6 linked regions of the Mus musculus genome follow. The protein of the gene in region 1 purifies or fractionates together with the protein of each later gene. This does not show direct contact. Links are inferred from orthologs where the notes say so. Each region holds a gene or a part of one and is shown in the gene's direction. Other genes may lie near its edges. The genes, in order: Ruvbl1, Wdcp, Epc2, Shq1, Znhit6 and Dpcd.

Region 1 (4,994 bases):
GCCTGGGCTTCTAGAGGGCAGGTGAGGAGCATAGGAAGGTAGAACAGAAAGGGACAATAGGGCTGTTGGTTCTGTGGTCAGCGTCATCCATATAAGGGCAGCCAGAGCCACCCTTAGGGACCCTGTTTTCACTCCTTTATGGCCTATGAAGCTAAGGAAGTTGAGAGATATCTTGGTACCCTGTGGCTGGCTTGTGGGCTCACTTGCCCTCCTCTCCTGGACTATTCACCCTTATCCTATCTGACATGCTCCCCACTGGGGGATGCTCTATGCACTTGTTAGTCCTCTGGATATACCATAGAGAGGCACTTTGTAGCATGTTAAAAGGAAGTCAAACATGCCTTGCAGTTCTCTGAGTCACCCTTGTTTTCTTTTCAGCTGGACCCCAGTATTTTTGAAAGTTTGCAGAAAGAACGAGTAGAGGCTGGAGATGTGATTTACATTGAAGCAAATAGTGGAGCTGTGAAGGTAATGTCCTCCCTGGGACAAAGCACTAGGCCTGATTTGTGAGTCACGAAGACCCAGGTGCTGGAGGAGGTGGGCACTGTCTGGGGCCATGCCATGGGAAGGACAGAGTTGTCCCTCTGCGAATTATAAAGTTTCTTTTCCTTATCTTCATTCTTTAACCTTCTCATCGTGAAAAGAGACAGTCTGTTAGAAATACTAAGACCTGTTTAGAGGGGGAGAACAGGGTGAGAGACCAAAACAACTTTAGTCATTTTCAAATTGAAATGTGCAGTGTATTTAATCTTCCTTTATCTCTCTGGTATTTTCTTCCCAAGATATATGCATGTGGGAAGGAATGCGGCATTAGCTGGCATTCTTTTCGTATCTGATTCCCAGTGTCCTGTACAGTGTTGCTCACTGTTTAATGGATGAGCATAATACTTGATATCAAGCAGTAAATCACCCACCTACAAAAGAGTCTGAGCAGCTCCCTCTGTCTCCAGTTAATCTGCTGGATTTGCCCTTTATCGGGAAGTGCATACAGTTACGGGTGTTGGGGACTCTGGAGAAAGTATCGGGTATCTGTGACCCGCCGGTAGCTTCCTTCTCTTGGCAGAGGGTAGTGGGCACACTGGGTTGGGCACATGGGGGGATTGTCAGGGAGGCTGTCGTTGTTAGGCTGCAGTTGGGACCCGACCCTCTATCTCACTGAGCTCTGCCATTTGAGGGCTGGGCAGTGAAAACCCACACAGCATTCACTGTCTCTCTGTCTACAGAGGCAAGGCAGGTGTGACACCTATGCCACAGAGTTTGACCTTGAAGCTGAAGAGTACGTCCCTTTGCCAAAGGGAGATGTGCACAAGAAGAAGGAAATCATACAGGATGTGACCTTGCATGACCTGGATGTGGCTAATGCGCGGCCTCAGGTACTGCTGTGCTGCTGTGGGAGGAGCTCTCGGGCAGCCTTTTGTCTCTGCCTGGAAGCTCTGGGGATGAATCGGCAAGGTCTTGCTGCCACTTTGGAGGCAGGCGCTCCTTTTCTCTCTGTGATGTTCGGCAATTAACATGGGCATGAGCTACGCAGCACTCCTTTGTTCCCATTCTAGTGCACCAGTCACAGATGATTTCCTGGGCTATTTCTTCTTGCAGCCAAGCCTCCCGCCCTGAGCTAGCCAACTTCCTCCCTGGCTTCTCTCCAGCAGTGACTTGTGCCTGGATGCTCTAGGTATTGCTGACAGGAGGGCATGAGTGCTGTGTGAACCCTCACAGGGTTTCTGAAAGCCTCGCACAACTGTGACCTCCCTCCACTTAGCAGAGCCTTGCCACCTTTAGCTTTGAGCTGGACCCAAGCCCGCAACTCTGGAGGGACAGTAAATATTTAGACCTTGACTGATAACTGTAGGAAAGGATGTCATTCCATAGCCACAATTCTGAGGGACATGATTCAAAGAACCAAAGTACACAAATTCCTTACTGGTGGCCTTTCAGGTTACATTTATCTTCATCCTCCCTAGGCCACCTCTGCAGCAGCAGTGGAGAATGGGCCCATCGAGGCTTTGTTCAAGAGATTGTTGACATCAGTCCTAGACCAGCAAGTGCCTTTAGGAGGTAGATGTCTGTCTCCAAACTGACCTCAGAAGCCTCTGCTTTAGGCAGAGTGTGGGGACAGAGTGTCAGCAGAGCAGCTTCCTAACAGGAGGGGCCTCGCAGGAAGATGGCACAGACAGCCAGAGCTTTGAGTCATAGCTTTGGTCCTTTGTGCATAATCCAGGAGTAACAAATTTTAAAAGATAAAGTGGGAGAAGAGGTCACCCTGTTCACTCTACTCCCAATGGAAAGAGTTTGTTTGATTCCTAGAGGTCTGGAGCCTGTGAAGTTCCTCTGTGTTTAGAAGCTTATCAAGGAAGCTGGGCATGATGCCACCCACATGCCTTAATCCCAGCAGGAGGCAGAGGCAGGTGGAGCTTTGAGTTCAAGGCTGCCTGGTCTACAGTGCAAGTTCATGGACAGCCAGGGCTACACAGAGAAACCCTGTCTAAAAAAATGTACATACATGAAAACACATACATGAAAATATAAACTTTCCAGGGGGCTTGTGTTGGCATCTCCAAGTGAGTTGACATTGGAGACCAGTAGGAAGCAGGGGAATTAGGTTTGGTAGCCTCCTTAGACAGCATGGTCATTCAGTCTTCTCTGGCTGACTGAGTCTTCTCTTTTCCAGGGTGGGCAAGATATTCTGTCTATGATGGGCCAGTTGATGAAGCCAAAAAAGACAGAGATCACAGGTAAGAGCTGGTGATCTGCCTGCCCCCAGAGCCTACAGTAGATCAGGACCCTGGGTGCCAAACCCAGTGGCTGTATGTGCTCCTCTAAGTAAAATAAGCGTGGTGATGGTGTCTTCCCTCCTCTGAGATCACAGCTTAAACCTTGTCATCTGTGCTCTGTTTAGACAGTAGTGTGCTCTCTGGTCCTGGGCACCTAGAGTTTCTGGTCCCTTTGGGGTCCTAGGGATGTTGAGAAGTGGAGCGAACTCTGCTGCCATGGCAGCACCACCTTCTTCCCTCTGCCCTGCTCTGGTGTGGCCTTTATACTCTTCCCACCTCTGTTATCGTTTCCTAGCAACCTGTAGGTTGGTGACTGTGTGTGAAGCATGAAGTCTCTGTGATCTTGGAGGTCTCAGCTGGACGAGCAGCTGAGACGGTTCTTCCAGATCCCAAGAGCAGCTGTGTCTGGATTTTGCCTGGCTTTGTGTGGCTGATGAGACAGGGTTTCACTGGTTAGTCTAGGATCACCTTGACTAAGAGATGCTGCATTTCCTCCTCAGCCTTCCTAGTTCTGGGGTCACAGGTGTGTGTGCTGCATGCAGCAGCAACCACTGTAGTCTTTTGCCCTGAATTTGCTCTTTGTTCTCAGGCAATTCTTACTGGTAGATTTGGTAGAAGAGGTAGCAACTCCAGCAGATCTTACAGTTCTGTTTATGACCAGACCCTACTGCTGCGGTTAAGACTGGGCTGTGACTCGTGGTGGCCTATTTGACTATGGATAACATCTTGTAAGGCCTGAAACCATCTTCCTGTTTGGAGAGGACTGAGACTGCGTGTGATTGAAGGCAACGTCACACAGGGCCATAAGACAGGGTCATTCACAGAGCACAACATAGGAATATTTGCATATGAAAACTCCTGTCGTCCCAGGCTCCCAAATCTGCTAGACTTGAGTTCTAGTGGGAGCTGGACATCGGGTTGGGAGGATGAGCAATAAGGCAGGGTGGGGCGTGTGAGGAGGTCATGGCCTTCCTGTGCACAACCCACTTGGGGTTAGCCAAACAACTTTAGGGAAAGCTGCCAGTTCTGTGGCCTTTAGGTGTGTTTGTTCCTGTTTTAGATGATGTAACTGAAGCTGGAATGGGGCCAGGGCCTGCTGGGGCCTCACAGTTGGGGAAACAGGTGTAGGGTGGGTTTGGGTGGAAGTCCGAGCTCAGAGCGGGAGCTATTTGCTGGTGCTGACCCTGCCATCCCACATCTAGATAAACTTCGAGGGGAGATCAACAAAGTGGTGAACAAATACATTGACCAGGGTGTGGCCGAGCTGGTCCCTGGAGTGCTTTTTGTCGATGAGGTCCACATGCTGGATATCGAGTGCTTTACCTACCTGCACCGAGCCCTGGAGTCCTCCATCGCCCCCATTGTCATCTTTGCATCCAACCGAGGCAACTGTGTCATCAGGTAGGGCCTCACGCCTGCTCCAAGGCTTCCCACCTTCCTTCTGAACGAGTGTTCTCCTTGGTTCGCATGCCTGCATGCCATGAGGCAGATGGGGAAGAAGCAAGGATGTGTCTTGGGTTGTTCTGATGAGGAAGGTCTTCCCAGGGGTCTTTTGGGCTATGGAGTGTGCGAAGTAATGGTCGCATAGGGGCTGGTCTTTAGTGGGATGTCATGAGCTAGCTAACTTCCTGTCTCCTGCAGAGGGATAGGTATTGCTAGCTTCACTTCAGGTGAGGGAACTGAATGGTGTAACTCTTCCCACCCCAGACCTTTCTTGAGAGGTTCAGTAGAGCCCTGGAGAGTGGGTCTTCGTACAGTCTCTCCTGTGTTAATACAGCCCCAATGCTGGGGTGGAGGGGTTTTCCAGACTCACTTTTTCCTAAGTACTCTGAGCCTGAGCTGCAGAGAATGTACCAGCTTTTGTCTGAGGCCCATGTCAGGTTCTCATGTGCGGTTTTAGTGCCCTAGAGGTTTTCTGTGGTCCTGTGGGACAGTCAGGGCTGGTCTCTGCAGTGCTGGGATGTAAAGGGCTTCTTTTCAAGCCCACAGCTGTTCCAAGAGACAGTGCCCTGGGGCTGTGTGATCTTGACAGTGGTCACTGGAGACACTATGGTCCTATGGCCCTCGAGTATTCAGGACAGCCGAAGCCACCCAGACTGCTGGCTTGCCTGTCCATGATGGTGGACCATATAGAATGCCACTGGCCCTTGCTGGAGAAACTTAGTCTACACACTGAGATTGTCCACACCGGGTGCTGGTGGCCCTGGGGAGTAAGTAGTCTGG
Region 2 (5,593 bases), on another chromosome or scaffold:
GGTCTCGATCTCCACGCCCATCACGGTCCCACAGGCCCCGCCTCCAAGGGGGTCCTCGCGGCTGCCCCGACCCCGGCTCCGCTCTGGCGCGGACCCCGCAGGCACTCCCGCTCGCCTTCTTGCCGCCACTGCAGAGCCGGAGGAGGTGCGGCTGGAGTCAGGACCTGCGCGGGGAGGGGCCGCCGGGAAGGGGGCGGCGGGGTGGAGCTGTGCGACAAGGTGGGGTCGGCCGGGGCGGAGCCCGAGGGAAGCGACCCTGACGTGGCTGCTCCGGATCCTGGCCAGACTAACCACCATTAACCCACTGGCTGAAAGGGGAGGCAGGGTGAGCGAGGCGTGCCGGCACTAGCACATCCACACATCTATCCACTCAGTGTATATTTATTTAGCACCTACAGGGTGCAAAGCCCCAGGGAGTCCACTCAATCCTACAGACTAGGAGAAAGTCGGTAATTAAACTAACTCTTTAAATACGTGTGCTCAGTGCCGTGGGGTTCAGAGTAAAACGGAAGCACCCGAGACTGATACCTACCCGGGTTAGGCTTCCCGAATCTATTGGAGCAGAGCCGGCGAAGGGAAGAAACCAATTATTGACGAATTTTCCTCAACCACCTTAAGACCACATTCATCATTCCTCAAAGTTTTACAGCAGGTATATGTATTGGAGGTCTCACCTTTCAAGGTAAAGGACTGCTCCCTGGGGATTCCAACTGAATTAAAGGAGGATCAGCTCTGTGCTGAAGATACAGCGACAGCCTGAATGGTGAATGCTATAGAAGGAATGAATGAATTCTTTTACCTCTACCCAAACCAAACCAGGATCTAAAAAGATACTTTTGTCCTTCCCCAATCCGAATTCCGCTTCCTTGGTCCTGGGACTTGAATCCAGGGAAGCCAGGGCCTGTTCACTCACGCTAAGCTAACAGAGGTTACGTCCATGGCCCCTAGGAAGATACATTGGGAGGAGAAAACATTTGCTTGAAGGCTGAAGGAGACTTTAAGAAATGCCCCCCACCCCCATCTTTTCTACACCCGTTGCACAGATCTGAATTTGTTTCTGACAAGAGCCAATGGGAGGTGAGTATGGGAGAAGGACCTATTTATTCAAAGGCCCAGAACTGGAACTTGACGCATTTTCCTCAGTTTCTCCATCTCCACTCTTCCAAGTGGCTAGCTCGCAGATACTAGCTTGCCAGGATACAAGGACTAAAGTTGGTGCTCAGAAAAGCTGGTTTACGGTACTGTGCACGTTAGGATCAGAAAAAAACCCGTGTGTGTGCCCTAGAGTCGTCAGGGCTTAAGGCAAACAAACAAACAAAAAAGCTTAAGACACCCCACCCTCCAACCCTGACCCTCACCCCCCTACTGGTTATGGCCTTGGGCAGGTACTTTGAGATCGGGGTAGAACAGATCTGCTACTTGGGCAGGCCTACGAGGCTGGCTTCAGGTAAACGGATGTATTTACATTTTGGGAGTGATATTTTATGGGATTTTTAAATGTGGAGTTCTTGACTCCCCTCTAAACTAAACACTAACTTTTTACACATGTTGACTGTAGAATTCCGATTCCCTCTTGCCAACCAATTTTTTTTTTCTCTGTATAGCCCTGGCTGTCCTGGAACTCACTCTGTAGACCAGGCTGGCCTAGAACTCAGAAATCTGCCTGCCTCTGCCTCCCAAGTGCTGGGATTAAAGGCGTGTGCCACCACGCCCGGCTCTTGCCAACCACTTCTAAGAGAACAGTTGAGACCTGCGTGGGAAAAGAGGTTGAAGCACTTGAGGTGTATTGTGAAGATTTTCGGGCGGTGATTTCGCGGGAACTACAACTCCCAGAAACACTTGCGGCAAAGCCCGCGCTTAATGGCCATCGGAAGGACCCGCCGCTAACGTGACGCACTCAATAGCCAATAGTCTAGAGGCATCTCCGAGGTCCAAAGGCCGAGGCTTCCGTTAGGTGCCCGGGACTTCTGATTCCCGGTCCTGTGACGTGAGCGGCCCCGGGATTTTACGTGTGGGACGGGGAGGCAGAAGACTAAGGTATTTCGTTGTGTGTGTGTGTGTGAAGTGGGTGGCACTTCAGGCCCAGGGATGTAGGCGTGGGGAGAAGTTGAGGGAGAGTTGGAAGAGGACCAGGCTGCAGTAGAAGCAAGCTCACGGTGTGGGTTTTAACAAGTGCCCTTGGGATACACGAGTGATACTTCTGGTAATAGAGCTTAAGGAATATAGCCTTGTTTGTAGTAAGTTAAAGTCGCCTACGAACTTTGAGATGTTTGAACAAACCGAACTAAGAACTTGGTTTAAATTACAAATGATAATAGCCGAGCTTTTGGTTAATTCCAGGAGGCTCTAACGGGATGATCAGTTAAGCTGTTGCCAGTATCTCTGTCTCACGTCTCTCATCCTTCTGGGAAGCTAGATGGGGAGTTTTGGTTTTGGTTTGGTTTTTATCTGGTTTGGTCTTTTTGAGACTGGGTGTCATTTTGCAATCAGTGCTAGCCTAGACCTAGCTGGACTCGAGGCAGTGTGTGTGTGTGTGTGTGTGTGTGTGTGCCTGCGCCCGCGCGCCCGCCTCAGCGTTTGCGCACGCACGTGCACTTGCTTTGGTGCATAGCTGGAAGTCATAGGACAACTTTTGTGAGTTGGTTCTCTCCTGCCACTTTGTGGGGTCCAGGGGTTGGACTCAGGTATAAATAAGGCTTGTGTACAAGCCCCTGATAACTGCTGGGCTATGTTGACTGGCTTTCAGGTTTTGTTTTGTTAAATGATAAGATCCTTACTTGCTTTGGCTTTACTAACCTTACATCAGTGACTCCCAAATCCTTCCCTGTGACTGCCTAAGGTACATCTACTGCTACCTTACAGGCACCTTCATGAAACACGTTTAATACCACTACATAAAACTCATCTAATACTAAATTTTGTCACAGCTTGCAGTATCTCAGTCGGTGGAGTGTTTGCCTAGCATACAGAGGGTTCTGGGTTCCATCCCCTGCACCGCATAAACTGGACCGGTATTATTCTCAATACTCAGGAAGTGCAGGCAGGAGAACAGGAAGCTCTAGGCCTGTCTGGGCTACGTGAGGGTCTGTATGAAAAATAAATACCTTACATACTACACACCTTTCTCATCTTCAAAGCATGCCTGCCTTCTGCATCTCTGACTAATGGTTCAACTCTTTCTCAAGCTAAAATTTTGCATGCTGTCCCTCAAGTATTTTTCAGTCTTCACATTCTGTGAGCGCAGTCTTTCTGTCTTAGAGAAGCGCCTCTGGCATCCAGCACCTCGTCTTCCTCTGGGAAAACAGCTGCACACTTTGTTTCCTCTCTCTTTTTTATTTTATCCTTTTTCTTTTTCCATTTGGTTTGGGGTTTTTGTTTATCTGTCCAACCTCCCCCCCGACCCCACCCCACCCCACACACACACGGGGTTTCTCTGTGTAATCTTGGCTGTCTTGGAACTCACTCTATAGATCAGGTTGGCCTTGAGATCTGTCTGCCTCTGCCTTTCCGGTACAGGGATTAAAAGAATGCACCATCACCGCCTGGCTCCTTTTTTTCCCCTTCTTGCTCTGGCCTGGTTTGCTTTGTCCCAAAGATTGATTGATTGCTGGCCTGGTTTGCTTTGTCCCAAAGATTGATTGATTGATTGATTTAATTAATTAATTTAAGTACAGCTGTCTTCAGACACACCAGAAGAGGGCATCAGATCTCATTACAGATGGTTATGAGGGCATCAGATCCCATTACAGATGGTTGCGAGCCACCATGTGGATGCTGGAATTTGAATTCAGGACCTCGGGAAGAGCAGTCAGCGCTCTTAACTGCTGAGCCATCTCTCCAGCCCTTGCCTTTTTTTTTTTGTTTTTCGAGACAGGGTTTCTCTGTGTAGCCCTGGCTGTCCTGGAACTCACTCTGTAGACCAGGCTGGCCTCGAACTCAGAAATCCGCCTGCCTCTGCCTCCCGTGTGCTGGGATTAAAGGTGTGCGCCACCACACCGGGCTTGGTTTGTTTTTTCTGAGGTGGGGCACACATACTACAGCAGATCTGTGGAAGTCGCAGGACAGCTTTTGTGAGTTTGTTCTTTCCCTTAACTTTGTGGGATTCTGAGACTGACCTCAGGTTTTATGGCAAACACTATTTATTTATTTATTTATTTATTTATTTATTACATGTGAGTACACTGTAACTGTCTTCAGACACTCCAGAAGAGGGAGTCAGATCTCATTACGGGTGGTTGTGAGCCACCATGTGGTTGCTGGGATTTGAACTTGGGACCTTCAGAAAAGCAGTCGGGTGCTCTTACCCACTGAGCCATCTCACCAGTCCTATGGCAAACACTTTTATGGGCTAAGTCAACCCACTGACTCTTTGTGCACCTTATGGTTGTGGTGTTCAGACTCTTCCCCCTCCCCCCATGTGACTCTGGTCGGCCTGTATCTCCCTCCCACCCCCAAGATAGATAGATAGATAGATAGATAGATAGATAGATAGATAGGTAGATAGGTAGTAGATAGGTAGGTAGGTAGATAGGTAGTAGATAGGTAGATAGGTAGGTAGATAGGTAGGTAGGTAGATAGGTAGGTAGGTAGATAGGTAGGTAGATAGATAGGTAGGTAGGTAGGTAGGTAGGTAGGTAGGTAGAGGCTTATGCTGCCCTTTACTCTCAGAGATCCTGCTACCTCTGCCTCCTTTAGGACCAAAACAGATCAAGTTAGAAAGTTGTATCTGTAGCAAATAACACAGGCCCTTAATGTCTTGATGCTTTTTGAAAGAACTTCACTCCTTTTACTTTGGGTGCTAGGGATTGGACCTAGGGTTTTGAGCATCTGAGGCTGGAATCTACCAATGACCCACATCCTCAGATTCAGAAGGACTTTTTTATATGCTGAAGGTATATGTTCGGTAGTTGGGTTTGGGAATAGAAAAGTGATTTAAAAAAAAACAAACAAAAAAACAGCAAAATAACCCAGGTGGTTATTAAAGGGTGCACGCCTTTAATCCCAGCACTTGGGAAGGAAACGGGTCTCTGTGAGGTCGAGGCCAGTCTGCTCCACAGAGTGAGTTCCAGGACAGCCAGGGCTACAGAGAGAAACCCTGCCTCACCTCCCTCCCAGATCAGAACAACAAAATAAAAAGCCAAAATGAGGGTCATCAGGGTGACCCAGCAGGTCAGGATGACTGCTGCCAAGCCTAACATCTAAGTTCACATCCAGGACCCATATGGTGGAAGGCAAGAACCAACTCCCAAAGGTTGTTTGCTGACCTCCATGTGTGTGTGTGTGTATGTGTGTGTGTGTGTGTGTGTGTGTGTGTGTGTGTGTTTGTGTGTGTATGTGTGTTTGTGTGTGTATGTATGTATGTATGTATTTGGGTTGTTGAGACAGGGTTTCTCTGTGTAGCCCTGGCTGTCCTGGAACTCACTCTGTAGACCAGGCTGGCCTCGAACTCAGAAATCAGCCTGCCTCTGCCTCCCAAGTGCTGGGATTAAAGGCGTGTGCCACCACTGCCCACCTTAGCCCTTTGATCCTTCAGAGACATTTCAGGATACATTTTTTTCTAAACATTGCAAAAGAATTTTAGAGATCTATCTGT
Region 3 (4,994 bases), on another chromosome or scaffold:
TAAGTGAGATTGAGAGACAACCCAAACTTAAGAACTAAGGCCTTTGTGTTGTTTAACCATTACTGTGGACGTTATATTTATTGTTTCTCTGCTGTATCAAAGTATATTTTATCATATATACTATATCATCACTTAGCCTGACATGACATAAAACTGTGCTCTATTGAGTCAGTTCTTTCCCAGGAATACTTTTCAGATTATATAAGGATATTTGGCTGGTAGCATCTGGTCCTGGCAAAATCCTTTTTAATGTAGCAACTCTTTACACTTTTCCTCTACTGTTGTAGTCGTAAACTTTCTCTCAGCAACCAGTGTTTTTATATACTTCGCTAAATTTCTGTTTGTGAGTTGCTAGGTTTCAGCAGTGATTTAAGGAGCTAGAGAGATGGTTGAGTTCACTTGCTGCTCTTACAGAGGACCTGAGTGTGCTTCCAGTACCCACATGGCAGCTCACAGCTTGCTCTGTCTGCTTCCAGAGAGTCCAGTGCCCACTTCTTCCTAGCATTTGACCTTATTATAGAAAGAAAGTCCAGATAAAAATGACAACTACCTATAGGTGAGGCATAATTGTCATCATCAAGCATTTATGCCTGAACTATTTATGACTATAAATGGGATATATAAAAACTATAGTGATATGTCTAGCCTTCGTTCAAAAACAGTACCAAGTGTGCTTAGATGCAAGAATAAATCTTAAGATTTTTAGCTACAGAAAATATTTACCAGTCATTTAATGTTTCAGGCAAATTAGCTAGCTGCTGGATGTAGGCAAGGTGCTTGTGATCTGCCTTTATTTTCATTCGTTATGTACATTGATGTGTTAACTTGGTAACTGCTAAATGGAGCACTGTTTTACCCAGGTGCTGTCTCCAGCTTCAGAGGCTGAGGAGGAGAATGACCCTGACGGTTCCTGTGCTTTCAGAAGACGGGCAGGATGCCAGTATTACGCTGTAAGAACTTTGTTTTTTGTCATATTTTTGTGAGCTGGAATTAACAGATCATTCATGTCAAGGTAACGTAGGCTCAGTCTAAAAGTGGGAAGTGCATCAATATTCCTTATTTAATGCCTCCTGTGGCATGTGAATACCAGCAGAAGAAGATGAAAGATGCCAAATTCTTTCACAGAATATTAGAATTCATTACTTAGACAACTCCTATTTTCAAAATTACTTCATTTGGAGCTTTAATTACAGCTTTAGCAGTTGTGAAAATTAATTGCACATGTTTAAGTTGGCTTTAGAACTTTTGGTGACTTCTGGATATTCACTGAAGTGTGTGTGTGAGAGAGAGAGAGAGAGAGAGAGAGAGAGAGAGAAGAGAGAAAGAGAGAGGGAGAGAGAGACCCAATAAGTATATTTTTATAGTTTATGGCAAAGTTGTCTGATAATTTCATCCATAAATTTCAGATACATTAGGAATCTCTTTTTGTTATTAATGTCCCATTTTGGGTGCAGTGTTTAGAGAATGGCCTTGGCGTCACAGTGCTAAAGTTTTCTGTCAGGTATATAACTATAGAGTAGAAAAGGTAGTTTTGCCCTGTTAGCATGGTTTATGCAAACCGTTTGACTGCATTATGTTATGCACAGATAGACAGCTTTTTTGAGGGCAGACTTGGTTTAGGAAGGATAGGGATTTGTTTTCAAGTTATGCTGATAGAAGGTGAGAAAACTCCTATCCAAGGGGGACAAAGTGCTGAGACAGAAAAACAGGATGATACATGTAATAAAAAGGCCAAGAAACAAGCTCTACGTTTCTTAAAAGCAAAGAACACTTAAGCTCAGCCTGTACATATGCTTCCACTAAATTTTTAGTTGCCTTTAGCACCCCCTAAAAAAAGTCATTCTAGTTTATCATGTAGAAAAGCTATAAATTAATAATTTTATCGCTCTCTATATAAAGAAACCTAAAACATATTCTTTAAAGGTATCTTTTAAATACATACTAAGTGTATGTAATTTAGAGTGGGTAATTTGGATAAGGAAACTTTATCTAATTTGATTAGCTTTTGATTTTAATTTTTTAAATTTTAACTGGATTAATACATTTTAGCCTCAGTTTTACAGTTTTTCATCTAAATTTTAATTGTTCTAATACAATTTGCAGTCATTTTATTTTTATCATGATTTAACTTTTCTTCATTTCAGAATTACTCTGAGTTATCTTTTTTCTCTTTCTTTGCAGCCGCGTTTGGACCAAGCTAATAACCATATGTGTGAAAATTCAGAGTTGGCAGACTTGGATAAGTTGAGGTATAAGCATTGTCTTACGACACTTACAGTTCCAAGAAGATGTATAGGATTTGCAAGGAGGCGAATTGGCAGAGGTGGCAGGTAAGCTGCTTTGACCTTGTAGCATTGTCTAGCTGAAAGGCAATCAATAGAGAAACAGTTATATATGATATACACATGTATGTCTTATATTGCTTTACAGGGTCATAATGGACCGAATATCCACAGAACATGACCCCGTCCTGAAACAGATAGACCCTGAGATGCTGAACGGGTTTTCAAGCTCTTCCCAAACTATAGACTTTTCTTCTAATTTCTCTCGGACCAATGCTTCCAGTAAACCTTGTGAAAATAGACTGTCTCTTTCTGAAATATTAAGCAATATCAGATCATGTCGACTACAGTGTTTCCAGCCAAGGCTACTAAATGTACAGGACATTGATAGTGAAGAATGTACCTCAAGAAAACCAGGGCAGACTGTGAGCAGTAAAAGAGTTTCTGCAGCATCCGTAGCTTTATTGAACACCAGCAAGAACGGCATATCAGGTAAGCATTTAAAGGTCTGTCAGATCGCTGCTGCTGCTGCTGCTCTTTTCTCCTTCGTGTCCATTACCTAATAAGTGAACTCAGAATACATTTTGGAGACCTACTTTCCTACTTCTATTTGGAAGATAAATTGTAGTTCAGTTCAGTTCTCAGCCTAAGAGACAGCACCCTACTATAAATGACTCGAATTTTGCGTGTGAGTGGTGTGGCAAGCGTGTGGGCTGAGCCCAGTGTTCCCTGTGAGTTTACTGCTTACTGGCTGCCTCCTGATCATTGTTCTACAATGCTATTTATTATGTTAAAAAAGTGTTCATTGACTTGGATGGAATGTAAGCATTGCTCTTTGAGAGTTCTCTTGAAAGCCTTTCTAGAAAAAAAAAATTTTTTTTAAGGATGCTATTGAATAGTGATTTTCGTCAGCATGCTTTCCTTTCTAATTGAGATCAGAAATATCTTTTTCATTTTAAGGGATACTGTGCTAGATATATTAACATGTGTTTATAATCTCAACCTTTGGAAGGTACAGACAGGAAAATCAGGAGTTCAGGGTCATCCTTGACTACACTGCTACTTTTGAGGCCCTGCCTCCCTATGTATGTATGTATGTACGTATGTATGTATGTAATGAGTTTGTGCTCAAATAATTTAGTGTTTTTATGGTATATACATTAAGAATAATTTGAATATCTAGGTATTCCAAAATATAATTTTGATGTGTTTTATTCTGTTGATAATCTAATTACATGTTTACAAGTTTATATAATTTATAGATATGTTTATAATATATACACTACAATTATGCATGGTAGCCAGTGGAAATGTATTAAATAAAACCTCTTATTTCATTTTTAAAACAACTTATTCAACAGTTCCATGAACATAAATGGTATATTCTGGTGACATATACTCCTCTCCTCTTTCTTATTTCTTCCCTGCCCTTTCAAAGACCCTCTCCCACCTATCAAGTCCCTGTTCCATTTTCTTACCTTTTTGTTTTGTTGTGCTTTTGTTTAATCATGGCCTTTACTGTGGACGTGGGAGTGAATCTATTCACTGGAGTATGAATGACTCACCAGTAGCTACATGACTGAAGAAGATGGCTGACTTCCTCTCCACCAGCAGCCCTAGGTTGCCATTAGCTCCCCCGAGTAGTGCAGGGACCCAGGAGATCCTCCCCTGTCTGAATGTTATTTACTGGTTTGCTCCAAATATGTTGGCTCCTTTTCTCCTAGCTGAACTTTAAGAAAATGATGCCCCATTCTTGTACTTTGTGAGTTGGTGAAGCTTAATGAGCCTGTTAATCTGAAATGGATAAAGATATCTCATATAATTTGAGATCTTTTGAGTTTCTAGAAATCTGTTTTTACAGGAAGTTAAATAGTATTGCGTTTTTCCAGCCAATTCCCAAGATTATTCAAAATTATATGAATAGAAATTTCTGTACCACTGTTCAAAAAGGAAATTCAAAACATATCCAATATAGGTGTTGATAATTGTGTTTGACTATATGTTGGCTTTTTAACTCTACCAACATACAGCATGTTTAAAATGATTTGAATGGATTCTCAATTTGAGTATTTACAGATTTCAACCGTATGTCCTAAATGAACTCTGGATTTGACATAAATGTTTTCAAGATAATATATGTTTTCTGTTGCTGTATCAATTCTGAATATATACTGATCCAAAATTATAACTTAATATAACTGAAACTTTCCTAACAATCAGCTATCATATTGAGGCACATTATCCGTGTATCATCATGAAAAAAGCATTTAAATTACCATAAGTGTACATGCCATCTGCCATTTTTCTTGTATTTTTCAATATATAATACCATTCCTTTCCACCTCTGTTTGAGCTCTAGAATGTACAGACACACTTACAAAGCCAAGCATGGTAGTATATTCATGTAATCCCAGCACTAAGAGGGTGGAGACTGGCACATCTCTGGAGCTCTCTGACAGCCAGTTGAGCCTCCTTGCTAAGTTCCAAGCAAGGTCTTTTTTTTTTTTAAGGGTGGATAGTACCTGAAGAATTACACCTAAGGTTGTTCTCTGGTCTGCACATATGCCCATGTACTTGTACACACTCAAGGGAACATGCATACACAAAAACGTTTGAATTTAAGTAATAACGAAGGTACATTAGAAGTCATCCTGTGTGTGTTTATATGTGATATGTGTGTGTTAGTATGTGTGCCCATCTGGTTATGTGTGT
Region 4 (4,033 bases), about 12 Mb from region 1:
ATGGAGGGGTACTGTTTACTGGCTTGTTCCTCGTGGAGCTTGCTCAGCCTGCTGTCTTATAGAATCCAGGAGCACCAGCCCAGTGGTGGCACCACCCGCAAAGGGCTAAGTACTTCCCTATCAATCACTAATTAAGAAAATGCTCCCATAGGCTTGCCTACAGTCTGATCTTATGGAGACATTCTCTTCATTGAGGTTTCCTCCTCCTCTCAAATATCTTTAGCTTATGTCAAGCTGACATAAACCAGCCAGCACAATACTATATTTGGACTGTGCTAGGTCCTGTAAAAGAAATGAGGGGGAAGGATGTCCAAGAGACTATAAGGGGGAAGAGGGAGAGTAGTGGGAAAGGCATTGGGAGAGTAAGCATAACAGAGGAACTAAAAAGAATAACGTGAAGAAAAAAGAGACAAAAGACGGTTTTTGAAGAGTGTATGAAAACAGAAAAAAGTGAAACAAAATCAAAAGGAAGCACAATTCTTCAGAGTCGGCGCTGACTGGGCATCTGGATTCTGATCCCGTTTAATCTCTCAGCTTACTTTTCCTTGGAGTTTGCAGTGTGGGTTAGATTAGAGGACACATATCGCACATATTCTGTTAATGAGAAAACTATTCAAAGAAGGGAATAAAAAGGAGAGAGGAAGCTGAGGGAGGGGTAGGAGAGGGGCGGGGGGGGGAGGTTTTTGGCATTACAGGTGAGAACTGAAAGGAACGTCACCTTAGGGACGTCGCTGTGGCTACTGCAGAACCTGCTTCTACTTGCTGAGTGCTGACTACTTGAAGGGTACAGAGCTCCTCATGGATTACTCCGTGTAATCCTCACAGCATCTGAGGAAGCTGGAATAATATTAGCCTCCTTTTATAGTAGCGGTGTCTGAAGTAAAGAGGAGTTTTGTAGCTCAAGGTCGTGCAACTGGGAAACACTCACATAGAAATTCAAAACCACTTTGTTGACTTAAAAAAAAACAAACCACAAGGCAGTTAAATAATTTCTAAGTCTCCCCATAGACGTTAATGAGTCTAAGGCGACTTCGTGTTCCCGTTAGTCCGTAAACGTCCCGGTTAGAGTTCCAGTTCTTCGAAAAATTTCCCTTAATTGAAGTTTCATAACAAGCCTGCAGGGCATCTTTCTCAATCTGTTTAAAAACTCCGCCCAGCTAGCGAAAGCGTCCCGTCTCCAAGGAGACTGGCGCAGGGCGGGACTTCCGGCCCCCACACGCACTCACTTCCGCCTCCGTCCGGAAGCGCTGTGGTACGGCGTGGGTCTGTCGCGCGGGGGAACTGATCGTGTGCCTAGCGGGGCTGTGTTGGCTTCAGGCGCGCGCAGCGATGCTTACTCCTGCGTTCGAGCTGACCCAGGACTGCGACTTCCTCACCGTCGCCATCCGCGTGCCCCACGCGCGCGCCTCTGAGTTCGACGTGTACTTCGAGGGGGTGGACTTCAAGTTCTACGCCAAGCCGTACTTTCTGAGGCGAGTTCCCGCCGCCTGCGTGCCGCTTTCATTCGGGAGCCCACGCTCGCGATTTACTCCGCGCTCGCGGACACAAACACTCTCGCGGGTCTCTTCGCTGCCGCCTCGGCGGCGACTTCTTCCAGGCTCGCAGTCTGCCTGCCGCACAATCACCTCCTGTGGCATCCGTGGATCCCGCCACCGAGCACGGGGCCACCCGCGCGGTGTCAGTCCGGTCACCCTCGTTCTCGATCTTTCCTGACTTGTGCTTTTCTTTCACTGCACGCCCGAGCCTCCCCCTATCCGTGGTGACCTCACGGCGTGGGCCGGTCCTTTGACTCCCGCCCGCATGTCATCTGCTTCCTGTAGTTCCCAGGTCTCCTGTTAGCATCAGATTAGCCAATTCTTTTATGCCTGGCTGCCCGGAGATGCGAGCAGTACTTAGCATTTACCATTCATTCATATCAGGTTTTTCTCCATGTTGAACCAAAATAGTAGTGGCAGCTCACACTCGCCACCTTCAGTGTGGTAGGCAGGCAGCTTCTTAGATGCGCACATGTCGTTTTAAGTCATTTTAATTCTGATAGCCGGACTTTGAGTTAAGCAGAACTAGTACCCCCTTGTACCGTGGACGGTGTGAGAGTCTTTCTAAACTTGCTCATCAGTTGCCCTCTGCTTTCAACGGAGTCAAGCTACAGTCAAGGGGTTTCTTCACTGCTCGAGTGGGAGCCACATTAGATCTTTATTAGCATACCAACTTGAAAATACAGTAGGTCACTCCCTACCTATGAGAGATACTTCCAGGACTCCTCAATGGATATCTGAAATCATGGCTAGTAATGAATCCTGTATATACTATTTTCTCTTTACCTATAAACCTAAGATGAAGTTTAACTTATAGATTAAGTTTAAAGTGAAGTAGAACAGACATAAATACGTTTGCAATTGTTTTTTGTGAGTTGTTCTCCCCCCCCCCCCCATTTTATTGGTAGTTAAAGTATTCGAATGGAAAGATGGGCCATTTGATTTTTTATTTTCTTAGTTGAAGAGTGAATCTAGATTATTTAGCTTGCAAAATGTGAAGCACTGAAAGTTGCCTTTCGAATGGTGGATAGATTTTGATGGCTAAAACTATGCTACGATTGATGATGGCCTTTCTTGTGTTAAATCTGCAGATTAACTCTGCCTGGAAGGATTGTGGAAAATGGATCTGAGCAGGGGACCTATGATGCAGATAAAGGTATGGTTTGGGGTTTTAGATAGATTGGTGTGTGTGTGTGTGTGTGTGTGTGTGTGTGTATGTATGTATGTGCACGCGCATGCCACCTGTGTTGCTAACGTTCCTTCCCTAGAAGGGGCATTCTCCTAAGGTCCCATTGAAAAACTAAATGTGATTCCATCAAAGTTCACTGGGAGAACCATTGAGTTTATTAAGTTATAGAGTAGTGGGTAAGGGGTTTAGGGCAGGAATCTTGGTAATCTTGAAGTAGCCACAGTAGACGATCTGCATGGCTTCCTCAGGGCTGCATAGATTGAACTCCCTCCCTTCAGCCTAGATTCTAGCTCTTCCCCCACGACCACATGCAGTTGGGGCAGAATTGGATCATACAATTCTGGTTGGGGGTGATGGTGGCTGCCCTCTCATTCTGTGAGGGACCGTAAATAGTCAGCAGGCTCGTCTGTGATGACCATTTGTGAGCTGAAGATGGTGGCAGTTTGGCTCCAATGATGGTACTGTACAACTGCATCTGTAGGTATAGATGTGGTGAGGGGAGGTGTATATGTGTAGGTTCATATGTGTGCACACGTGCAATTGGAAGCCAAAGGACCACCTCTGATGTCATCCTGAGGAATGTGTTAGAGATAAGGTTTCTTGCTTGTTGCTTATCAGTTAGGCTAGACTGGCTGGGCAGGAAGCCCTGGGAATATTCTGTCTCTGTCTCCCCAGCTGGAGGATTACACACATGCACCACTGCATCTTATGTTTTCATTTGGGTTCTAGAAATGAAACTCGGGTCCTCCTGCTTGTATGGCAAGTGCTTTACTGACTGAGCCATAGGCCCAGTCTTGGCTGGGATTTAGTGGATTCCTTATACTCAAATGGTAGTAGTCTCTAAAGATACCATGGGGGGCTTTCAGAGATGTCTAGCAATTGCTGTATGCTGTATAACTTTTTTTAATCTTTAGTGCCTATTATCTATGGATTTTTGACAGGTAGCAGTTTTCTCAGTCTTTTAAAGTATTTTGCAATAATCTTTAAATTTGACTCAAAAGTCCTAGTTTAATTTTCTGGGGTTGTTTCTATATTTAGCACATGTTTAAGGTAAACATCAACTCGAAATGATTGGCTTTATAATGGATGGATGGTTTATAAGCTTTTGAATGAAAACTTTCTTAAACAGTTTTCAAATTTAGATTTTTAATAACAGGTAGATGAGAAATTATGCATGGAAAAATATAAGAGTAATTGGATTTTCTATTCATGATTGACAAGCCCCCATCTTAAGCCAGCCACAAACCCCAGGAATTTTACACTTACTGCAGCTCCTGTCTTTTCTTTTGGACTGAGTTTGGAATAAGGG
Region 5 (5,433 bases), on another chromosome or scaffold:
TGTGGATCTCTGTGAGAACAAGGCCAGCCTGGTCTACAAAGCTGATGAGGACACTCATCAGGACAGCCACAGCTATGCAAAGAGACTCTGTCTCAAAGAAAGAAAGGAAAGAAGGGAGGGAGGGAGGGAGGGAAAGAGGGACAGAGGAAGGAAGGAAAACGAAACCTGCCCATTCATGCTGATTAAGCACTATTCACAACAGCCAAGATATGGTATCAGCCTATGTATCTATCAATAGATTAACAAATGAAGAAAGCATGGTATATATAGACAGTATTTTTCCGCTATTAATTAGAACACAAATGTTATTGGTAGAAGTACGAATGACACTTCTGTAAATAACCTCAATACAATCACCAGCTCACCAAGTTGGACTTGAGTGGAATCCTTTGGTCTGTTGTCAGTTCCTTCCTGGGGTGAATAGACATTTTTTTTTGTTTTCTCAAATTTCAAGAAGCTATAGAAAAAGTCAAAGGTCAGAGATTCTGCCTTTTTAGGCTTCCCTGGTTGGCAAACCGATGACTTCTCACATTTCAGTACCCTTCTCTACGTGCATCCATCCCACTTATATGCAAATTCCCTCTTATTAAACACACCAGTCAGAGCTGGGCGTGGTGGCGCGTGCCTTTAATCCCAGCACTCGGGAGGCAGAGGCAGGTGGATTTCTGAGTTCGAGGCCAGTCTGGTCTACAAAGTGAGTTCCAGGATAGCCAGGGCTATACAGAGAAACCCTGTCTCGAAAAACAAAAAAAAAAAAAACAAAAAAAAAAAAAAAACAAAAAACAAAAAAACAAAAACAAAAAACCACCAGTCAGATTGGGCTAGGGCCCAGCCAAAGGCCTTATTTTAAGTGTTATGCCCTTAAAAGCCTTGTCTTCGAATATAGTCAAAATTCTGAGGTATTGGGGTATAGTGCTTCACTATACGGATATTAGGGGCTACAATTACCCTGTGACAGCCAGCGTTTCAGTTGCCGGCTGTAGATCTTTTTGTAGTTGGTTCCCATGCATAGTTTCATGTAATCTTTGTGGGAGCAGATGAGAGTGTCTCTCCTCCCCTTCCTCTTTTTCCTTCTCCTATTTGTTTTGTTTTTGAAACAGCCCTGACCCTAGGAACTTACTATGTAGACCAGGCTAGCCTTGAAGGTTACAGAGATCCTCCTGCCTCTGGCTTCTAAATGCTAGGATTAAAGGCGTTTTTGGATGTCCTGGTCCCTAGTATACAGTGAAGAAACCTTAGACCAACGGTTCTCAACCTGTGGGTCGCGACCTCTTTGCTAAACCTCTGCTCCCCCTCTCCACCCACCCCCCAGGAGTATTTATAGTACGATTCATAACAGTAGCAAAATTATAGTTATGAAGTAGACACAAAAATAACTTTATGGTTGGAGGTCACCACAACATGAGGAACATAAAGATCCACACCACTGGTAAGGTTACGAACCACCGCTTTATACAGTCTAAACTTTGGAGGAACATGGGAGTCTGTATCTATTGCCATGCATTATTAGAATTAATCCTTAATACTGATTAAAGTGGGTCACTTATTTGAGACAATAATTCCAGTTCCCAAGACAGCAGTTTCAGCGCCTGAGAAAGGATGTGGCAAGATCCCCGCCCCTGGGTGGGAGTCCTGGTGGGCGTGGTCTCACCTGGCTTTAAGGAGTGGGGCCGGAAAGCCGCCGTGCCGTAAAGAACGCTACACGTCGTGAAGAGTCGTGGCCGGAACAGCTGCTTTACGGCTAGCTCGGCTTCCCGCAGGCGTGCAGAGCTTGCCGCGGCTGCTTTGCTGCACGTGTGGCGCTGTCGGCGGTTCGTTTGGTAATCTCTCTTATTGGCTTGGTGGTGCCACCGTGAAGAACGGAGTGGCAGCTTCGGCCTAGGCTCGTGAGCTCATGGAATCTGCAGCTGAGAAGGAAGGGACTCCGGGAGGAGGTTCCCAGAGGGTAGCGGAGGGGGCGCGGCCGAGGCCTGCGGCTGGTGGGGAGGGAGCCAGGGACTTAGACGGGAGCCCAGAAGCTGGCGATGGAGAGGAGAGGAACGGACTGGCAGGAACTAAGACCACGGAGGATGCGGAGGAGATAAAGATGGACTTAGCTGTGGTGAAGCAGGAAGTAGTAGACTGGTCGGATTTAGACAGTGGTGTTGCGGACAGCCAGTGGGTGAAGCAGGAGGTGGAGGGCGGGCCCGAGGTGAAGGATGAGAAAGGCGTGTTGGAAGTGAAGCAGGAGGCGGATAGTAGCCTGGTGGTGAAAGAAGAGGAGGTGGATGAGCCAGAAGTGAAGGAAGAGAAGGTGAAGGTGAAGGAGGAGGTGACGGACTGGGAAGAAGTGAAGGAGGAGGACTTGACCATAAAACAGGAGTTGTTTGTTGGTCAGAACGTAAAGGAAGAGCAAGTGATGGATGCAGCGCCTATAAAAGAAGAGGGTTCCCTCAAGAGCGAAGCGATGGAAGACGCGAAGGTGAAGGAAGAGCCCCAGATGAACCCCCGAGTGGGCAGCAAGAGGAAATTGGCTCTGTCAAGGTAGGGCGGGGAGAAAACCCAGATGGGAAATAGACTACTGGGTGGACGAGTCCTTAACAGCAGAAAGTGAGGTAAGTTAAACCAGGCGTGACGTGGGTCCCTGAAGTCTGAGTGGTGAAGTTCAGGTTGGGCGTGACGCTTTCGAGGACACAGTGTGATGTGACTGTGTCCAGAAGGGTATGGCCAGGTTAGGGAGTGAAAATTCTGGGCATCAGAAGGCCTTTGTGGAGCCAGAGCTTGTTAAATAAGAAACGCTTTCGCAGTCTTTCTTTTAGAGAGAATAGGATTAGAGGCGCCATCCAATATAAACCAAAAACCAGCAAGTGGGTAGACTAATAGACACATGTCAACTTACTCTTGAATTTATTCCGGGCTCCTATGAATGTTCGTTTCTTGGATGTAGTCTCTTTAATGTGCTCATGTGACAGTACAGAAGATCAGATTGTGGTCAGATTCAGTCTCAAACTCCTTGAGCTGATAGAACTGACTGGTACCAGGTACACTTTGGTTCTCAGTATCACCAGACCCTAGAAGACCGAGGACAGATGAATCATACCATTATTTGGGTGTTCATTCTGAATTCGCTGTGGAACTGGGGAAAGGGCACACATTGCTGCCAGTCTGGGATTCATCCTTCCTTGTTTCTCCGGTGTATATGTTTTTAAAATACTCATATGTAGCTCATGGATTATACTTCTAGACACACACAAAGTCTCCATGAATCACAATTTCAAAAATCGCTGGGCGTGGTAGCGCATGCCTTTAATCCCAGTGCTCAGGAGGCAGAGGCAGGCGGATTTCTGAGTTTGAGGCCAGCCTAGCCTGGTCTACAAAAATCAGCAATTCATATTATTCTCTTAAGTCCTGTAGAAAAAAATGGGCGGGCCAGTGACTTCTTTCATACAGTTTTCTTGAATTGCACGTCATTGTAAATGTCATTTTTAAACATTTTCATGATTTCCAATAGCAGCTATCATATACTTTATCAGAGTTGCTTTGACTACCTGCCTGTAAACTGTGAAATGCCCTTGAGTCCAAATTCTAAGACCGGAAGGACATACATAGAGTTGATTTTGCGTGTTAAGTCTCAGGTGCACTCTTACAGGTGTGAGACTTGTGGGACAGAAGAAGCGAAGTACAGATGTCCACGCTGCATGCGCTTTTCCTGCAGGTAGATATGTAGCTTCCTACCTCACTCCCTGCCTGTGTGCACTCTGACTTCAGGTACAGAGCTGCCTCCTGTTTGTTTCTTCAGTTTGCCCTGTGTAAAGAAACACAAAGCTGACCTGACGTGCAGTGGAGTCCGGGATAAGACCGCTTATGTGTCGCTGCAGCAGTTTACTGAGATGAATCTCCTGAGTGGTAAGTCACTTTGTGCACCACCCAGGGATGCCTTCTGGCCACTGGCACCGTGTCACTCGTTAACTTGTCCATTCTGAAATTACAAGACTATAGATTTTTGGAAGACGTGGCAAGAACGGCAGACAAGGTTTCAAGAGATACTTTCTTGAAAAGACCAAAGCGCAAAAAATATGTAAGTATTTCTTCTAATCTTTTCAAGTTCAGATCTCTTCCACCCAGTTTATTCATTTCTCAGTTGTATCAAGTGGTCACTGCGCTGTGGGGCTATTCTGGTTATTTGAGATGGATCCAAGTACTTACCCTCAGGCATTTGTACTGTAGAGGGGAGGTAGTTGAGTGGGGGAGTTGGGAGGTATAGAGCAGCAGATAGAATTTCTTACAGATGTAAGTGCATGAGGAAGTTAAGATGGTTCAAGAGAGTAAAGAGAACAGGGTGCTTGAGGGGCATGGACTACGCAGAGTGTGATTATCAGCACAGTGGTAGAGATGAGCTTTCCTGAGACGGGACAGATAGGCAGTGGACCTAATGGTATGAAGTGGACAGTTGGAGACATTTAGAGGGAAACTCTGAGTGGAAACATAGGCAGAAGCGGCACAGACTCGGCATTCAGGAGGAATGTATAGCAAGACTGACTCAGAAGTGCAAAGACGCAGGCTGGGAACAGGACGCCTGTGCTCCGGGGATTAGCAGGGCAGGGTAACCGAAGCACGGTGAGTAAGGAGGGATGAGGGAAACCTGTAAGAGTTTCCAAGCATTCTGAGTAAACATGAGACTAAGGGAGGTGGGGCGTAATGGCGCCTTTAATCTAGCACTTGGGATGGAGGCAGGTGAGTCTCTGAGTTCCGGGCCAGGCAAGGCTACATTTGACCTGTTCTCAGAAAAGAAAACACAAAATGCCTAGAGCCTGGAGAGGCGGCCCAGCAGTTGAGAGCACTCGGTCTTACAGGGAACCATGGGCTACACAGAGATGTACAACCCCTGAGATTCTGGTTCTAGATGCTCCAACGCCCTCTTCTGGCCTCCAGCAGAACCAGGCACACACAGGATGCACATTCATGTGGGCAGACACATAAAGTAAAAATACATTTTAATAAAAGGCTGGCTTTCACTTGGTGTCGGGGAGCAACAGTGGGGGTTGGAAGCATGAAGGACAGCTGCAGAGGGTGGAGGTCATGGCAGCAATGCTGTTAGAAATCATTGGAAAGTGGTTCACAATTTTCACAAAGTAGTTAAACACAAGAAAGAAATTGATGAGTGAAAAATTCATTAATAGTGTGATTGAATCAAAGACCGTTTTAGTAGAGAAGTTAGGATTTTCAGTAACTTTGACACAACTATGTTATTGGTATAGAGATGCTGTTACACATGCAGAAAGTTACCAGGTAGCAGTTCTTAATGAACATCCCTAAATTCTATTATATTATAAAATACAGTGTACATTAAAACACTCATAAAACGGAACTATAGCGTAATGCTATAACTTGCATTGGGCCTGGGAGGGGACCACTCTGGCTTCCCTGGAGATCCTTGCTACCCTCTGGTGTGCT
Region 6 (5,454 bases), on another chromosome or scaffold:
TCCGTGTCTGTCAGCCTTCCCTCCTGCAGGCACAAGCTCAGCCAGGTGGACTTCACCAGCTGGGCACCAGGGGGTAGCTGGGGCAACCTGAGGAGCCGGAGAGCCCGCTCATAGTCCATGTCTTCATCCACCACAATGTGAGTGACTCCTGGGGCCTGGGCAGAGCACACCTGGCCGCCATGGTGGATAATCTGCTTCTCAAAGAGTTCAGCCCGGGCACGTCCAATGCCAGCGGGCATAATGTGGGCTCTCAGGGAGCTCAGCCATCCTGTGGAGAGGATATTCAAGTGGTATCACCATAGCTATTATTATTATTATTAATTTTATTGCACTATTATTTGAGATAGGGTCTCATGTAGCCCAGGCTGGCCTCAAACTGACTATGTAGCAGAGGATAACCTTGAGTTTCTGATTCTCCTGCCTTGACCTCTAAGAGCTGGGATTACAGTTGTAGGTCAGAGCTATAATGAACTGTTCGAAGCCACCTCCCTTCCTTTTCCTGCCATCCAGAGAACAAAATACCTTCAAAGAATTCTACCGCAAACGTACAACAAACTTCCTTTTTTTGGGGGGGGGTGGTTAGTTTCAAGACAGGGTTTCTCTGTGTAGCCCTGGCTGTTCTGGAACTCACTCTGTAGACCAGGCTGGCCTCGAACTCAGAAATCTGCCTGCCTCTGCTTCCCAAGTGCTGGGATTAAAGGCTAAAGGCTTGCTTGCTAGCGATACCCCCCAGGGGTTTTTTGTTTTTGTTTTTGCTTTTGTTTTGTTTTGTTTTTTTCAGCAAACTTCCTTTTTTGTTGTTTTGTTTTGCTTTTCGAGTTTGAGGCCAACCTGATCTTGGCCACAGGTTAGGTCACTTCTGTTAATCTGACTCTAGCTGAAAACAAGAAGGCTGAACGTTCCAGTGTGTGAGGGTGGACCGGCTCACCTCTAGCTTCTCCCACCTCCCTTTTGGGAATCTTTGCAAGTGCTTTTGAAGATAGATCTGCATGACTTTTCTTCCGCTTGGGAAAGGCCTTCACGATGCCCTGAGGGTCCATTGAAGGGCGCTGGATCCTGGCCTTTCTGTTAAAGGATTGAGAGCCAGCCCTTAATAATTTGGCATAGAGGTGGGGTTTAGGGGTAACAGGTCCCTTTCTCAGAGGTCTCGGAAACCCCAGTTAAACTTAAGTGATTTAATCCGAGTGCCACACACACATACCAGCCTTTCAACCCTAGTCGTACTGAGGGAAGCCAGGGAAAGGTTGGGATTCTTGTGGGTGTAGGGGAGGTGTGGATCGAAAGGAAACAACATGGGGTGGGGGTGGGGGGAGGAATATAGCGCAGAGTCAGCCTCTGCGTCCCCTTCCAAGAGACTTTTCCAAAATGATGACGGGTTTGGGAACCGGACTACATCTTTAGGAGAGTCTTCATCTCCCCAACGAATTGGAGTCTAAGGGACATGTCACATAAACCTCGCATCATCTTTCTCTAGCCTCAATGTGCATTCGCAGAAGAAAACCTGGGGAGTGAGGCTTCAGGGAAAGTTGTGGGCACGCTGCGCACCTGTCCCTGTCGCAGCAGCCCCATCGCGCGGGTCTGAGCCCCGCAGCTGCAGGGAGGTGGAGTGCAGCCGCAGCAGATGTAGGGAGCCCTCACAGCTGGAGGTGGGCAAGACCGAAGCAGACGTGCCACATCCACTGTGAGCAGCTGGTGTGAACCAGGGACTCCCAGCTGGGGCCAGAAGAGAGTTGGTGCTGGATCCCTAAAAGTTCTGGGAGCATCCCCACCCCACCCGGCCCCAGGACCGGTCCAAAGTAGGTTAGAATCTCCCGGCAAAGAGAAATAAACTCACCATGGGAGCCAATGAAAACGGATTGGGGGAGGAAGGGGTAGAGGGGAAAAAAAAAAAAAAAAATCAGTTCCCAGAATACTTCCCGGGTCATCCGGAAGTGATCATCGGTCGGGTAGTTGCCATGGCAGTGGCCCGGCGCGTTCCTGGGCGGAGGGAAGATGGCGGTGACTAGCTGGTTGGAGGTTTTGCGGTCGGCCGAGAAGACGGCACTGCTGCAGGATGGTAACTCGAGACCCCTCGTCCTTCCCCCCAGGGCGGGCTCTATGCGCCCGCTCCCCCAGGGAGGGCCTCAGCCTGGGTGGGCAGAGCTGGACCTGTCGCAGCAGCCTACAGCCATGCCAGCTTCCTGCTTTTGCAGAGGAAACCGGCCCAGGGAGATGACCCGAGTGGAACCCAAGTCTTTGGTCACCCACCTCAAGAGTTCCTTATATCATCTCTCCCCGCTCAGAGTTTTGTTGGTATTTCCCAATAATTCATTTTACATTCATCATCGTCCCTCAGGGCTGTACCAAGAGGCTAATTCTGCACCCCATTTGACTGACGAGGAAACTGAAACCCAGGAAGGTTTTAGACCAAACCCAGGTTTTGCAGATAATCAGGTATAATTCGTCATCTGGGATCCATGCAGCTCAATTTGGGGGTCCTATTGATGACAGCAGCCCCAATGGCATAGAAAGGAGACACCAGGGTTTTAGATCAACTCTAACATCGATTCACCTCTTCAGTTGTTAGGACCCCATTTTCTTCAATTATAAAATGAAGTGGGTGGGCTACCAGTGTTGTTTCTAAGGTCCTTGTTTTCTTTTTCTTTTCTTTCTTTTTTTTATTTTAAAGATTTATTTATTTTTTTATTATATGTAAGTACACTGTAGCTGTCTTCAGACACACCAGAAGAGGGAGTCAGATCTCGTTACGGATGGTTGTGAGCCACCATGTGGTTGCCGGGATTTGAACTCAGGACCTTCAGAAGAGCAGTCGGGTGCTCTTACCTGTTGAGCCATCTCACCAGCCCAGGTCCTTGTTTTCTAACTATGTTTTGTTTATGATGTGGATTTTAAATTGCCCCCTGATCTTTAGGGGAGATAGAGCAAGGGCTAAGGTCTAAATGACTAAGAACAGGAGCTTGAGATGTCAGCTTTTCCTCATCCTGCAAGTGGCCAGTTTAAGTGCCCTGTGCCCCTGAGGTCTTTCACAGACCCACCCACCTGGCAGCCAGGGTGCCTTAGGTCTGAATTCCTGAGGCTTTAAAGCTAACAGCTAGCTTTAAAACATCCACAGGCAGGTGCCTGAAGTTTACAGAAATTAAAATCAGGTTTCATTTGCTCCTACCCTACAGCATTTAGGGAACCCATTGCCATGTGCCAAATTCTGTGCTAGAGCAGATAGAAAAAACAGACAATAGCAAAGTTAAAACAAACAAGAAGACGACAACCATGGCTTATGCTTTCCTGGGATCATAAAATTATCAAGAAAAAAATATGTAAGGAAATAGCAGCTTGTATTAAATAGAGGTTGGGATCTTAGAAAGGCAAGGATAGCCCCATGCCTGCCATCTCTGCACTCAGGAGGTCAAGGCAGGAGACTCAGGAAGGAATGAAGGAAGGAAGGAAGGGAGGGAGGAGGGAGGGAGGAAGTCAGGCAGACAGACAGGAAGGAAGGAAAGATTGAGATAGTCTGTGAAATGCTAAGAAAGCACAGAGGTGAAAATAATTTTCTCTTTGGATAATCACTAAATAGAAGAGGTGATATTCTAGCCCCTAAGGAATTTTTAATAGTTACTTGGTAAGTGGAGATGAAGGAATCACACATAGAGACAAAAGAAGTGTGCACATGTATAAGTGTGAGAGTGTATGGCAAAATGTCAAGTATTAGGAAAGAAGGCACCATTCGGGGACTGCCTGCACAGCATCCGGGGCCAGATACAGGGAAAATAGGCTGTAAGAGGAAGTGGGAGAAAATGGAGAGATGCAGACTGATGGCCATGTGTCACAGCCACACAGTATGCAGCTTTGGGACACACTTTACAAGACAGAGGTCTTTTTCTTTGAGACAGGGTCTCACTATGTAGTCTTGGCTGCTCTGAGCTGGCCTTGAATACATTCCGGCCTAAGCCATGTACTGTCATGCCTGACCCAGTTTTGGTTTTTTGGTTTTTCGAGACAGGGTTTCTCTGTATAGCCCTGGCTGTCCTGGAACTCCCTTTGTAGACCAGGCTGGCCTCGAACTCAGAAATTCGCCTTCCTCTGCCTCCCGAGTGCGCCACCACACCTGGCTCCCAGTTTTTGTTTTTATTTTATATAACACACACATACATACATACAGCACAAAATGTACTGTCACAATCAATTTTAGGTGTGTAGTTAGGGGTCACTAAGGACGGTCCTGCTGTTTGCACCTGTCACCAATATCTAGCTCCAAAAGTTTTCATTCTCAAAGCCAATACTCTGCACCCAGAAAACACAACTCCACACCCCTCTTCCTCAGCCCCTAGCTACTTTGTATTTCAATTAAATTGACTAAGAGATTTATGTAAATGGAATCAAATAATATTTAATTATGTCACAGAGCAAAAGGTTTTCAGAGTTCATCAATGTCATCATGTGTATCCAAATTTCCTTTTTAATTTTTTTTTTTTTTTTTGTGTGTGCTTATGTGGAGGCCAGATGTCAGACTAGGGTGTCTTTCCTCACAGTTGCCACGGTGGTTTTTACTCTTTAAACATTTGTGTGTGTGTGTGTGTGTGTGTGTGTGTGCGTGCGTGTGTGTGTGTGCTGCGTCTGCGTCCCCCAGTGGAGGAATTATATGTTCATGTCACTGCCCCAGTCTATGGATGCTGGGGATCCATCAGGCCCTCAAACTTGAATGGCAAGCTCTCTGCTGACTGCATTCCACCCCTGCCCTGCCCCCAACATCATCCTTCTGTTTTCAAGCTATTCCACTGTAGGTGTGTACTCCTGATCTCTGTTCCTTCGTCTATGGACGGGTGCTTGGGTAGCTCCTGCCATTTGATTGTTGTGAATAGTGCTGCTTTGAACGTGAACATGCCAGTGCGTGTAAAATCTGCTTCTGCTGCTTTGGGTCATGAGGTAGTATTTGTGGGGTGTGTGATGCTCTCATGTGAGTTGCAGGAGCACAAAGACAGGGTGTCACGTGTGTGAAGTCCAGGCCTTTGCTTTAATCCTCTGTTACTCTCTGCCTAGGGCAGCCTTTCACTGAAGCAGCAGCTCCGTTTTGGCTTTGGGGACCTGCCTGTCTCTGCCCACCAATGCTGGGGTTACAGGCATGCACTGCCACACCTAGCTATGTAGGGTGCTGATGAGTCCAACTCAGTTCCTCATGCCTGCAGAGCAAGTACTCGTATCTGTGAATCAGATTTTTAAGGGTGCTGAAACGTAGGGTCTGCCAAGAGACCTTGCAAGTTTGGGGTCAGTGGACTGAAATACCAGTTAGCAATGACTCGGGGAACTGTGTCCTAGAAGAGTGAGTTACACAGGACAAAGCCACCTCAGGGTTCCTGTTCTTGAAGCTGATGGAGGGTACACGTCCACTGCCTAGGAAGACCCTTTGTCAGTCTTCCCGAGGAGGCTGCCTGTATCCATTTACCTGCCTGTAAGAAAAAG

What was found.
Region 2: the proteins of Ruvbl1 (region 1) and Wdcp purify together in Homo sapiens (affinity purification with mass spectrometry; 6 studies listed by BioGRID and IntAct, counting the BioPlex papers as one, with this or other methods). This does not show direct contact. The link is inferred for Mus musculus from reciprocal best matches to the Homo sapiens genes RUVBL1 and WDCP.
Region 3: the proteins of Ruvbl1 (region 1) and Epc2 purify together in Homo sapiens (co-immunoprecipitation; 3 studies listed by BioGRID and IntAct, counting the BioPlex papers as one, with this or other methods). This does not show direct contact. The link is inferred for Mus musculus from reciprocal best matches to the Homo sapiens genes RUVBL1 and EPC2.
Region 4: the proteins of Ruvbl1 (region 1) and Shq1 purify together in Homo sapiens (affinity purification with mass spectrometry; 3 studies listed by BioGRID and IntAct, counting the BioPlex papers as one, with this or other methods). This does not show direct contact. The link is inferred for Mus musculus from reciprocal best matches to the Homo sapiens genes RUVBL1 and SHQ1.
Region 5: the proteins of Ruvbl1 (region 1) and Znhit6 purify together in Homo sapiens (co-immunoprecipitation; 3 studies listed by BioGRID and IntAct, counting the BioPlex papers as one, with this or other methods). This does not show direct contact. The link is inferred for Mus musculus from reciprocal best matches to the Homo sapiens genes RUVBL1 and ZNHIT6.
Region 6: the proteins of Ruvbl1 (region 1) and Dpcd purify together in Homo sapiens (affinity purification with mass spectrometry; 6 studies listed by BioGRID and IntAct, counting the BioPlex papers as one, with this or other methods). This does not show direct contact. The link is inferred for Mus musculus from reciprocal best matches to the Homo sapiens genes RUVBL1 and DPCD.

The regions. Positions count from the first base shown.
Region 1 is NC_000072.6:88,481,740-88,486,733, forward strand, and holds part of Ruvbl1 (ruvB-like 1), read left to right. Parts: intron 1-378; coding exon 379-468; intron 469-1,223; coding exon 1,224-1,373; intron 1,374-2,668; coding exon 2,669-2,732; intron 2,733-3,973; coding exon 3,974-4,172; intron 4,173-4,994. UniProt on the Homo sapiens protein: Possesses single-stranded DNA-stimulated ATPase and ATP-dependent DNA helicase (3' to 5') activity; hexamerization is thought to be critical for ATP hydrolysis and adjacent subunits in the ring-like structure contribute to the ATPase activity.
Region 2 is NC_000078.6:4,841,415-4,847,007, forward strand, and holds the start of Wdcp (WD repeat and coiled-coil-containing protein), read left to right. Parts: upstream 1-1,888; 5' UTR 1,889-2,037; intron 2,038-5,593. Other genes in the region: peptidyl-prolyl cis-trans isomerase FKBP1B, read right to left, coding at 1-21.
Region 3 is NC_000068.7:49,534,395-49,539,388, forward strand, and holds part of Epc2 (enhancer of polycomb homolog 2), read left to right. Parts: intron 1-860; coding exon 861-950; intron 951-2,181; coding exon 2,182-2,330; intron 2,331-2,430; coding exon 2,431-2,774; intron 2,775-4,994. UniProt on the Homo sapiens protein: May play a role in transcription or DNA repair.
Region 4 is NC_000072.6:100,668,358-100,672,390, reverse strand, and holds the start of Shq1 (protein SHQ1 homolog), read left to right. Parts: upstream 1-1,233; 5' UTR 1,234-1,329; coding exon 1,330-1,472; intron 1,473-2,626; coding exon 2,627-2,691; intron 2,692-4,033. UniProt on the Homo sapiens protein: Required for the quantitative accumulation of H/ACA ribonucleoproteins (RNPs), including telomerase, probably through the stabilization of DKC1, from the time of its synthesis until its association with NOP10, NHP2, and NAF1 at the nascent H/ACA RNA.
Region 5 is NC_000069.6:145,574,474-145,579,906, forward strand, and holds the start of Znhit6 (box C/D snoRNA protein 1), read left to right. Parts: upstream 1-1,734; 5' UTR 1,735-1,894; coding exon 1,895-2,523; intron 2,524-3,628; coding exon 3,629-3,694; intron 3,695-3,778; coding exon 3,779-3,885; intron 3,886-3,971; coding exon 3,972-4,057; intron 4,058-5,433. UniProt on the Homo sapiens protein: Required for box C/D snoRNAs accumulation involved in snoRNA processing, snoRNA transport to the nucleolus and ribosome biogenesis.
Region 6 is NC_000085.6:45,558,652-45,564,105, forward strand, and holds the start of Dpcd (protein DPCD), read left to right. Parts: upstream 1-1,933; 5' UTR 1,934-1,992; coding exon 1,993-2,056; intron 2,057-2,335; exon of another isoform or gene 2,336-2,433; intron 2,434-5,454. Other genes in the region: Poll (DNA polymerase lambda), read right to left, coding at 1-268, 929-1,040. UniProt on the Homo sapiens protein: May play a role in the formation or function of ciliated cells.